Nothobranchius furzeri: one gene and its partner. The protein of the gene in region 1 interacts with the protein of each later gene in a pairwise test. Links are inferred from orthologs where the notes say so. Each region holds a gene or a part of one and is shown in the gene's direction. Other genes may lie near its edges.

The links.
Region 2: the proteins of npat (region 1) and hinfp interact in a two-hybrid assay, tested with the Homo sapiens proteins (2 studies listed by BioGRID). The link is inferred for Nothobranchius furzeri from reciprocal best matches to the Homo sapiens genes NPAT and HINFP.

Annotation. Positions count from the first base shown.
Region 1 is NC_091753.1:29,162,333-29,166,145, forward strand, and holds part of npat (protein NPAT), read left to right. Parts: intron 1-98; coding exon 99-180; intron 181-260; coding exon 261-357; intron 358-436; coding exon 437-547; intron 548-750; coding exon 751-2,010; intron 2,011-2,556; coding exon 2,557-2,645; intron 2,646-2,725; coding exon 2,726-2,804; intron 2,805-2,873; coding exon 2,874-3,813. UniProt on the Homo sapiens protein: Required for progression through the G1 and S phases of the cell cycle and for S phase entry. Activates transcription of the histone H2A, histone H2B, histone H3 and histone H4 genes in conjunction with MIZF.
Region 2 is NC_091750.1:47,350,849-47,355,299, reverse strand, and holds the start of hinfp (histone H4 transcription factor), read left to right. Parts: upstream 1-1,556; 5' UTR 1,557-1,689; coding exon 1,690-1,843; intron 1,844-1,920; coding exon 1,921-2,147; intron 2,148-2,350; coding exon 2,351-2,462; intron 2,463-2,539; coding exon 2,540-2,692; intron 2,693-3,483; coding exon 3,484-3,561; intron 3,562-3,724; coding exon 3,725-3,845; intron 3,846-3,928; coding exon 3,929-4,067; intron 4,068-4,201; coding exon 4,202-4,326; intron 4,327-4,396; coding exon 4,397-4,451. UniProt on the Homo sapiens protein: Transcriptional repressor that binds to the consensus sequence 5'-CGGACGTT-3' and to the RB1 promoter. Transcriptional activator that promotes histone H4 gene transcription at the G1/S phase transition in conjunction with NPAT.

The DNA of each region.
Region 1 (3,813 bases):
TTATTTACGTGATTTTAATTTAATTTTGTAACAGTTATGTGTGGATGGAAGTAGATTTTATCTGATTAATTCTCTCTGTGTTTGACCTCTGCTACCAGCGAACCCACTCCTCCAACATCCAAAGCCTCTGTGAGCACGGTGGAGGCCGAGCAGTCTATAGATGAAATTCTGGGACTTCAGGTGCCAAAATGGCCTAGAATAGTATTTTTGATCCTATTTGTGTGATGCTAAACTTATTTAAGTGTGTATCTTTTTATCAGGGGGAAATCCATATGAGTGATGACGCCATTCATGACATTTTGGAGCAAACAGAGTCCGATCCAGCGTTTCAGGCCCTCTTTGACCTCTTTGATTACAGTAACTATAATCTACATCTATTTATTCCGAGTCCTGGGAAGGCTCTGTTAAAGTTGATGAAATGATTTTACATTTGCAGATAAAACTAAATCACCTGATGAGGAAGCAGTTGATGGACACACGGGCAGTAGTCTGGATGAGGCAGCTCAAGCTTCATCTGCTGTCCAGCCCCTTCAGAGTCATGTTGAGGGTATTTTTGTCTTTAAGTGTTTTGATTTATATTTGTGTTTTAAAATGAGCCATACAAATAAAGTTAAAGGGATTTGTTGCCATGGAGCTGCAGCAGCCTATTAGAAAGCATTCTTTTCTGTCTGCTTAAGGCTTTAAGAAGTGATCCGATTATGATTTTGTAGACAGAATCTCAAATTTGTATCACTGTTATTTGTTTTTCAGGTCCAACACATGTTGACGCCAGTGTGTCTGGCATCCAGCCAGCTGCTTTAAAGGTCAGGGCTGCTCCGGAGATCAGGGCTGCTCCAGAGCGTAAGACCAGGAAGTCCACCGTGTCCACTGTAGTGAAAAAAACTGTCCTGGACTCCGGCGGCCGGGCTTCCAGGATTGAGAACAGCTCTGCCAGACTATTGGTGACTCACGGGGACCCCCAAGGGGCCACATCTGCTGCACTGAACTCCGGGAGGAAAGAAAAACCTAATCTTCTGATTGATAGTGGGGGTGTAACACAAATGGATATTGATGAACCGCTGCACACACCTCCTCCCCCTCCTTTAGACAGTCTGGTTTCTCAGGAGCACACCAGCACCTCCACCGCCTCTTGTCTGGGTAAATCGGTCCCCGTGCCTTCAGCCGACGGTCCCACCACATTTACAGATGCCTCAAATGTAAACAAAACATCAAATGAGCAACTGTCTAAAATAATTTCTTTTCCTGTGATGGATCAGCCTGATTTTTTTAGTTCAGTGGCTGGTTGCACGCCTCGTCCATCAGGTTCAGCCACTGAAAACACACTGGCTGCATCATCTGTCCCTGCTACAGCTGTTTCAGTCACAGTTACCTCGCCATCATCATCGGCTCCCATCCTTGCACCAGCCTCATCCACCTCAGCAACTCCTCTCTCACCTGCATTCTCCTGTGCTCCGGTTGCAGCGACGCCCACTCCCTCAGCCACCCACCCCTCCACCTTATGCATGGCGACAGACTCCAGCAACATGGTGTCCTTAAAGATCATCGTGAGTGACAGCCAGGATGAGGATGCTTCCAGCGACGCAGCCTTGAGTCGGGCTATCTCCAGCATTTCTGGGGACAAGATACCCACCATCTACCTTTCCTCCCCAGCCAAGTCCCCCGAGTGCCCCGCCACTCCAAAAGCCAACTATGATGAGGTGGCGCAGGCTGTGAGTGGCCTGCAAAGCTCAGAGGCATGTGGCACTCCTCTCAGCTGTAAAGCTGCAGCAGTCAACACCGCTCCGTTCGTCGGGACACCTCAGAACCAGCAGAGATTTATAGTTCAGCTTCCCGTGGACGCCGCCAGCCCCGGATTGCAAGCCGCTGCTGCCAGCTTTTACCTTTTGACTCCAACTACAGATGTTCAGCCCAGACAGGTGCTACTTCCTGCTGGTGTCTCACATGGCTCACCTTTACCTGCCAATCAGCACAGGGGGACGACGCCCATATACCCTCAAAGCTTCTCCACAGGTGAGAGCAAGACTTCAGCTGTTCCTGAATAGACTCGAACTACCTCTAGTTTGTCTGACGTAACAGTGATTGATGTTAGGAAACGGTGCGCAGGTGTTGTTTTTATGTGCAACAAGTTACAATTAAAACTTGTGGTTTCAGAGAAAGTTTATCCTGACAGGATAAAAATGTCATTTGCAACAAAGAAATTATTTTATTATTTATGTGTTGCATTAAATTTATCTGTGATTTTAATTTGAAATAAAATAATCTAGGATTTAATTAAGATATTTATGTTGCAAAAATAGTCTTATAGGAAAGCAAACTGCAGATAATTAGAGATAAGTGTTTTTTATAGTAATAAAGCGTATTTGATCATTTATACGGGATATTTTTGTACCAAAAAGGGGGAAAGGGTGTTCATAGATTAATAAAGGAAGTTAAGTCCATGCTGCGGGAGAGGGATCACATATGTGTTGTCCTTTATGGATAGAATTGTTAGGGTATTTTTCACAACTTTTATGTGATTAGAGTTATTAGAATAAAATGTCTTTTTGTTTTGTGCAGGCTCAGCATTTATCCTCCCATCACCCATGAAGCCTGTGGTGCTTCCTGTTTCTGTGTTGGGGCAGAGCGCAGCAGGAACACAGCTCCAGGTAAGCCTACGTTATTGTTTACGGTTAGAAACGGACGTCGATCATTTTGTTGATGCTTCGGCTCATTGTTGGATTTGCAGCTTGTTGACCCATCAAACCCTGCACCAGTACAGCAGAAAGAATCCAGTCCCACCACAGTGGCAACCAAACCAGCTTCAGGTGAGTTACTGATGAAACCGCAGCAGCCCTTTCAACTCAACGTCTGACTCTGATGACCTGTGGTTCCAGGAGCTGATAAAAGGGTGGCAGCCGTGGTTCAGGGTGAAAAGTCGCGCCAGCAGGATGCAACGAAAAGTTCCAGCCACAAGAGGATTTTGTGTTTTGATTCCTCGTCGCCTGAAATTCAGCCACAGTCTGCTAAAGCAACTGAAACTGAAACCTCCCCAGCTGCCTCAAAAACATCTGCATCGCAACCTGAGCAGCAGCCTGAGAAGGACGGGAGGACAAAACCCAACATTCTGGGTGGCAACAAACCCAAACGGAGGATAGCGCCGGTCCAATGTACATCTGCTCCTCGGGCCGGAGCGACTTCGCTGAAACAGTCTGTCCCTCCACAGATGCAGCAGAAGGATTCTGTTAAAAAGAACGCTCGCAAGCAGGTGTACAGCGTTCACGACAAAGATCCGGAAGCTGAGAAGCGGTCCGAACCAGAGGAAGCATCAACAGCTGATGGATGTAACGGTGGAGTTAAAGCTAAAGATGCTCGTGGGTCCAGGTCCAATGAGTCTGCACTAAAACCAGGAAGCAGAAAGGACAGAGAAGAGGGCAGCAGGAAAGAAGCGGCGGACAAGGCTCCTGCGAGGCTACGTGAGGGGCGACCAGAAAAGAGGACTCCCTCCCAGGAGGTGCCTAACGTTCGCTCCAACAAGGAGAATGAGATGAAGGGAAGCGTGCCGGAGCCGCAGCAGCCGTCGGCGCCTTCCTCCTCTGCATCAAGAGACTTCAGTCCTCCAGCTGTCACACAGCCGTCCCCTCGCACCCAACCTAACACCCCAAAGCCCCCATCAAAGGCCAGCTCTCTGGCCAAACAGGCGGTTGAAATGCTGCAAGGACTCGGCTCCCCATCCACTCCAGTCAAAAAACCTGGTGCTGGCAGTCCAGAGCTCCGTCTCCCTGGGACGGACCGAACCATTGAAACTCCAGCTGATTGTCCCAGGACTCCATCCCG
Region 2 (4,451 bases), on another chromosome or scaffold:
ACCTATAGGGCATGTTGTGATCTGTGGGGGAAACCGGAGTACCCGGAGGAAACCCACGCAGGCATGGGGAGATTACGCAACTCTGTGCAGAAAGGCTGCAGCCGAGTTTCGAATCCGGAAAATCTTTGTGCTGCGAGGCAACAGTGCAAACAACTGCACCACCATGCAGCCCATTTTTCTTACCGTTTCTGTGATAATGTGGTTAAAGTGCCCGCTTGAAGGTTGAAAGGGTCTTCTCATAAATCACAGATTTGGAACAGTTTTTAAAAAAAATGTGTAGCATTGTTTTCAATGGCGGCATCAGTCGAAGGATTCCAGAAACAGTTTAAAAAAAGAAACAAATCGATAATGCTTTCGATGCCCATGCTGTAAAACACAGAGGAGGAGAAGTTCCTTTGTTCCCAGAGCTGTGCTTCTTCTTAATTCTCAGTGCAGATAGGGGGCGTGTGCATTACTTGTATGTGTGCGTGCATATAGTTACATGTGTGTGTGTGTGTGTGTGTGTGTGTGTGAGTGAGCCAAAGTTTTAATCATTGTTGGTCATTCACATGTGAGTTTATGATATGATTGTGTATATAGGTTTTTATGGGTTTTACAAATGTGTAATTTGGATGTGTTTTTAGAATTTAGAGATTTTAGTGCCGGCTGCTTCACAATGCTGTCTCGAATTGCCCCTCGGGGACTAATAAAGTTGTCTTGAGTCTTGAGTCTTGAGTTTCAGAACTTTTCAACGTTGGGTTTGTTTCAGTTAAAGAAAAAGAAAAAAAACAAGCTGCTCTCACGCTGCTGCTGGCTGTTCATTACACCAGCCCTCTATGTGACAGCACACGGGGTTTGGGGGCCCCTCTGTGGCCCCCCGAGCCGCCTATTGAGCACCACTGATTTAGTAGATCCTCCTTTTGCAGAAATAGCAGCCTCTAAACTCTTCCTATAGCTTCTAATGAGAATCTGGCTTCTGGTTGAAGGTGTTTTGGACCTTCTCCTTTACAACACATCTCCAGGTGTGATGACGTCTGTGCATAGCCAGCTTTCCTTAACTCACACCACAGATTTTCAGTAATATTCAGGTCGTCTCTGACGGTTCTCACCAGTCTCCGTTTCTGTTAAGCCAATATTTTTCATTGGTCTGTCTTTGACTTTATATTTTTTTGTTTAAAAACATCTGTACTATTTCAAACCTAAATGGATTATAAGACGCTTTAAGAGTCCATTGTTCCCTCTTCGGTGGGAAACTCCCACTGGGTTTAAATCTGGGACTCTCCACCATTTGACCTTAGAACTGAAGAAGCCTCTCGGATGAGAGGCGAAACTTCTTCAAGCAACTTAAAGAAGTCCAGACGCTTTTCTTTCAAGCTCCTTAGACTACATTGACCTGGATGACTGAGAACCTTCACAGACATAAGCTAAATTAACACGGAACGATGGAACTACGTTGTGTTTCAGCCGGTGATCATATGCTGTTGCACACAACCCGCGCGTCTGGTAACCGATCAGAAATAATGCATCTTACCCACGTAGCGCCTGTTGTCAGATAATTTAATGCTTTTAAAGGTTAGTTTATTTATTTTTTCTGCCCGTTTTATCTGCTGAATGTTTCAGACGCGTTTCAGTTCTGCTCTGTGGAAGTTAGCTCGCAGGAAGTAGCGGCTAGGAGTCAAACGCAGCCTTCCGGCTAACTGACTCCGAGAGATGCCTCCTAAAAGGCGCATTCAGAGAAAAATGCTCAAATTGAGCTGTGAATGGGGTTCGTGTCAGGAATTATCCAGTCAGATGGAAAACTTTTGTAAACATGTGGAGGAACATCTGACGTGTTTGAACACGGAGGAGGACGTGGAAGCAGGAGGTGAGTCCACCTGATTGAAACGTCATGTCTGTTTAGATTTTAAACAGCCTGGTTGTTGTGTTTTTTTTTCTGTCCAGAGGACAGAATGTGTCCCTGGAGAGACTGCGGGTTCTGCTCTGTTGATGGGTTTGAAGAACTTCGCAGACACCTCCTGTTTCACTGCTACCACACCAAGCTGAAGCAGCTGGGTCAGCAGGTCCTGGATGCTCAGCCAGAGCTGGGCAGCTGCTCCATCGCCTACCACAACCGCAACATCATCCCAGACATCCCTGATAACTTCATCTGTCTGTGGGAGGATTGTGAAGTGAGACGGGATTCATAAACCAGTTTCCGTTAATAGTCTTCTTCCAGTATCTTGGAATTGTTCATACGTATTGATCATTTTCTTGGATCCATTGCTTGTTTTGATTCCAGACTTTTCCCCTACTTTTTCCTCCAGACTCACAAAAGTAAACAGCTTCCTACATTTTACTTCTAACTTATTTTATCTTTTTGTCTTTGTTAAAGCAACCTCCCTACGAAAACCCCGAGTGGTTCTACCGCCATGTGGAAATGCACTCAGTGTGTGTAGATATCCCAACTGGAGACAGTGAGTTCTCCATACGCTGTGGATGGAAAGGTATTTAACATCTCAATATAATTATTTACAGTCAGAATTATTCAGGGCAGTACTTAAAAGGGGATCTTGTTTTGTAGATTGTGAAGCTACGGCTAAAGGGCGTCCGAAGCTCAGGGAACACCTGCGTAGCCACACCCAGGAGAAGCTGGTGGCCTGTCCGGGCTGTGGGGGGATGTACGCCAACAACACTAAATTCTTTGACCACATTATACGACAGAGTGCTATGGAAGGTAATTTCTTACAGTCATTGTTTTCGAGAAAATGCTTGGCCAAGAAGACCGTAAAGAAAAACAATAAGTATAATACATAACATCCATGATCTTAACCGCTCCATCCTCACTAGGCTTACGGGGAGCTGGTCTCTGTCTCTCGTGGTCATCGGCCTGGATAGGTCGCCAGTCCATCACAGGGCCCCATATAGACCAGTGACACACTCACTCACTTACCGGTATTCAGCGTATGTAGATGATTAACTGCATGTGCTAAAACAGAGCAGCAAGAACAACTACATACTTTTTTTCTATAAGGTGATCCCAGTACAGAGCTCTGAAGAGCTCCCTTGGTAATGAGAGAGACTCAGCATAGTGGAAACAATGTGTTTGAGCTGACCAATCACTTGAAAACTATCACATTGAAATAATAATTTGTGTTCTGCTCTCCAGTGTATTGTGGTCAACTGACACTTAAATCAAATTCATATGAGCAGAAGTTGTTCTAAACTCTTCAGCTTGTCATCGTGTTTCTTCCTGAGTCCTAACTGGTGTTTAGAAATAAGTGAACTGTTGTGTGGTAATGACTTCCGTTGCCCACTAAGCATTTAAATCATTTTCACCAAAACTCACTATTTAAATGTGAGGCTGTAGTTAAAATCTGAAATATCTTCTTTTTAATTCATCTTTTATCACAGGACTGAGACCTCGTTATTCAAAAAAGAAAGATTCAAATTACAATTCTGTAGCTTTGTAATAAAATGTGTGTGTGTGTTTGTGTGTGTGTGTGTGTGCGTGTGTGTGTGCTGTAGGTCAGAGATTCCAGTGTTCTCACTGCTCCAAACGTTTTGCAACAGAACGACTGCTGAGAGACCACATGAGGACCCACGGTGAGTCTTTGAAACTGTGATCTTTACTCCCTGTCCACCATTAATCTGCCTAGCAACCTCTTTATTGAATGTTAATAAGTTGTAAATAAAAGCAGCTCTGTTTCAGTAGTCTCAATGTGGGAAAAGTAATCAAGTTACTGGTTTGTTTTTCCTGTTGGGACAGTGAGCCACTACAAATGCCCGTTGTGTGACATGACCTGCCCATCGCCCTCAGCACTGCGCAGCCACATCAAGTTTCGCCATAGCAACGAGAAGCCCTACAGCTGTGACTATTGCGAATACAGGTATCTCTTCTTCTTTGTCTGCTCACACTCGGATCATTAAGGTGAAAGCTCCACCTGATGATGCCTGCCTCTTGTTTTTGTAGCTGTAAGAATCTGATCGACCTGCGTAAACACCTGGACACCCACAGCAGCGATCCAGCATTTCGCTGTGACGTTCCCGGGTGTGGCTTCACCTGTCGTTCGTCCTGCACCATGAAGATCCACAACCAAAAAGAGCACGAGGTGAACTTTGGCAGCCTTATGGGGTGAGACGTTCTCACCACCGGGGTTTGATGAGGAGAAAGTTTAAGACTTTAAAGCTCTCACAGATTCTTCTTATTTTAGATGATAATGTTTTATTTTCTCCCTGAAACCAGAAGAGTTTTACAGCTCGCTACAAGTGTCACGTGTGTGGCCAGTGTTTCACCAGAGGCAACAGTCTGACCGTCCATCTGCACAAGAAGCATCAATTCAAATGGCCTTCTGGACACCCCAGATTCAGGTTGGTCTCCTGCTTCAGCAGAAGTTCCTGTTGTGTATTTTGTATGTGATGTCTTCCATCAACCTGTCAGGTACAAAGAGCACGAGGATGGGTTCATGCGACTGCAGCTGATCCGCTACGAGAGT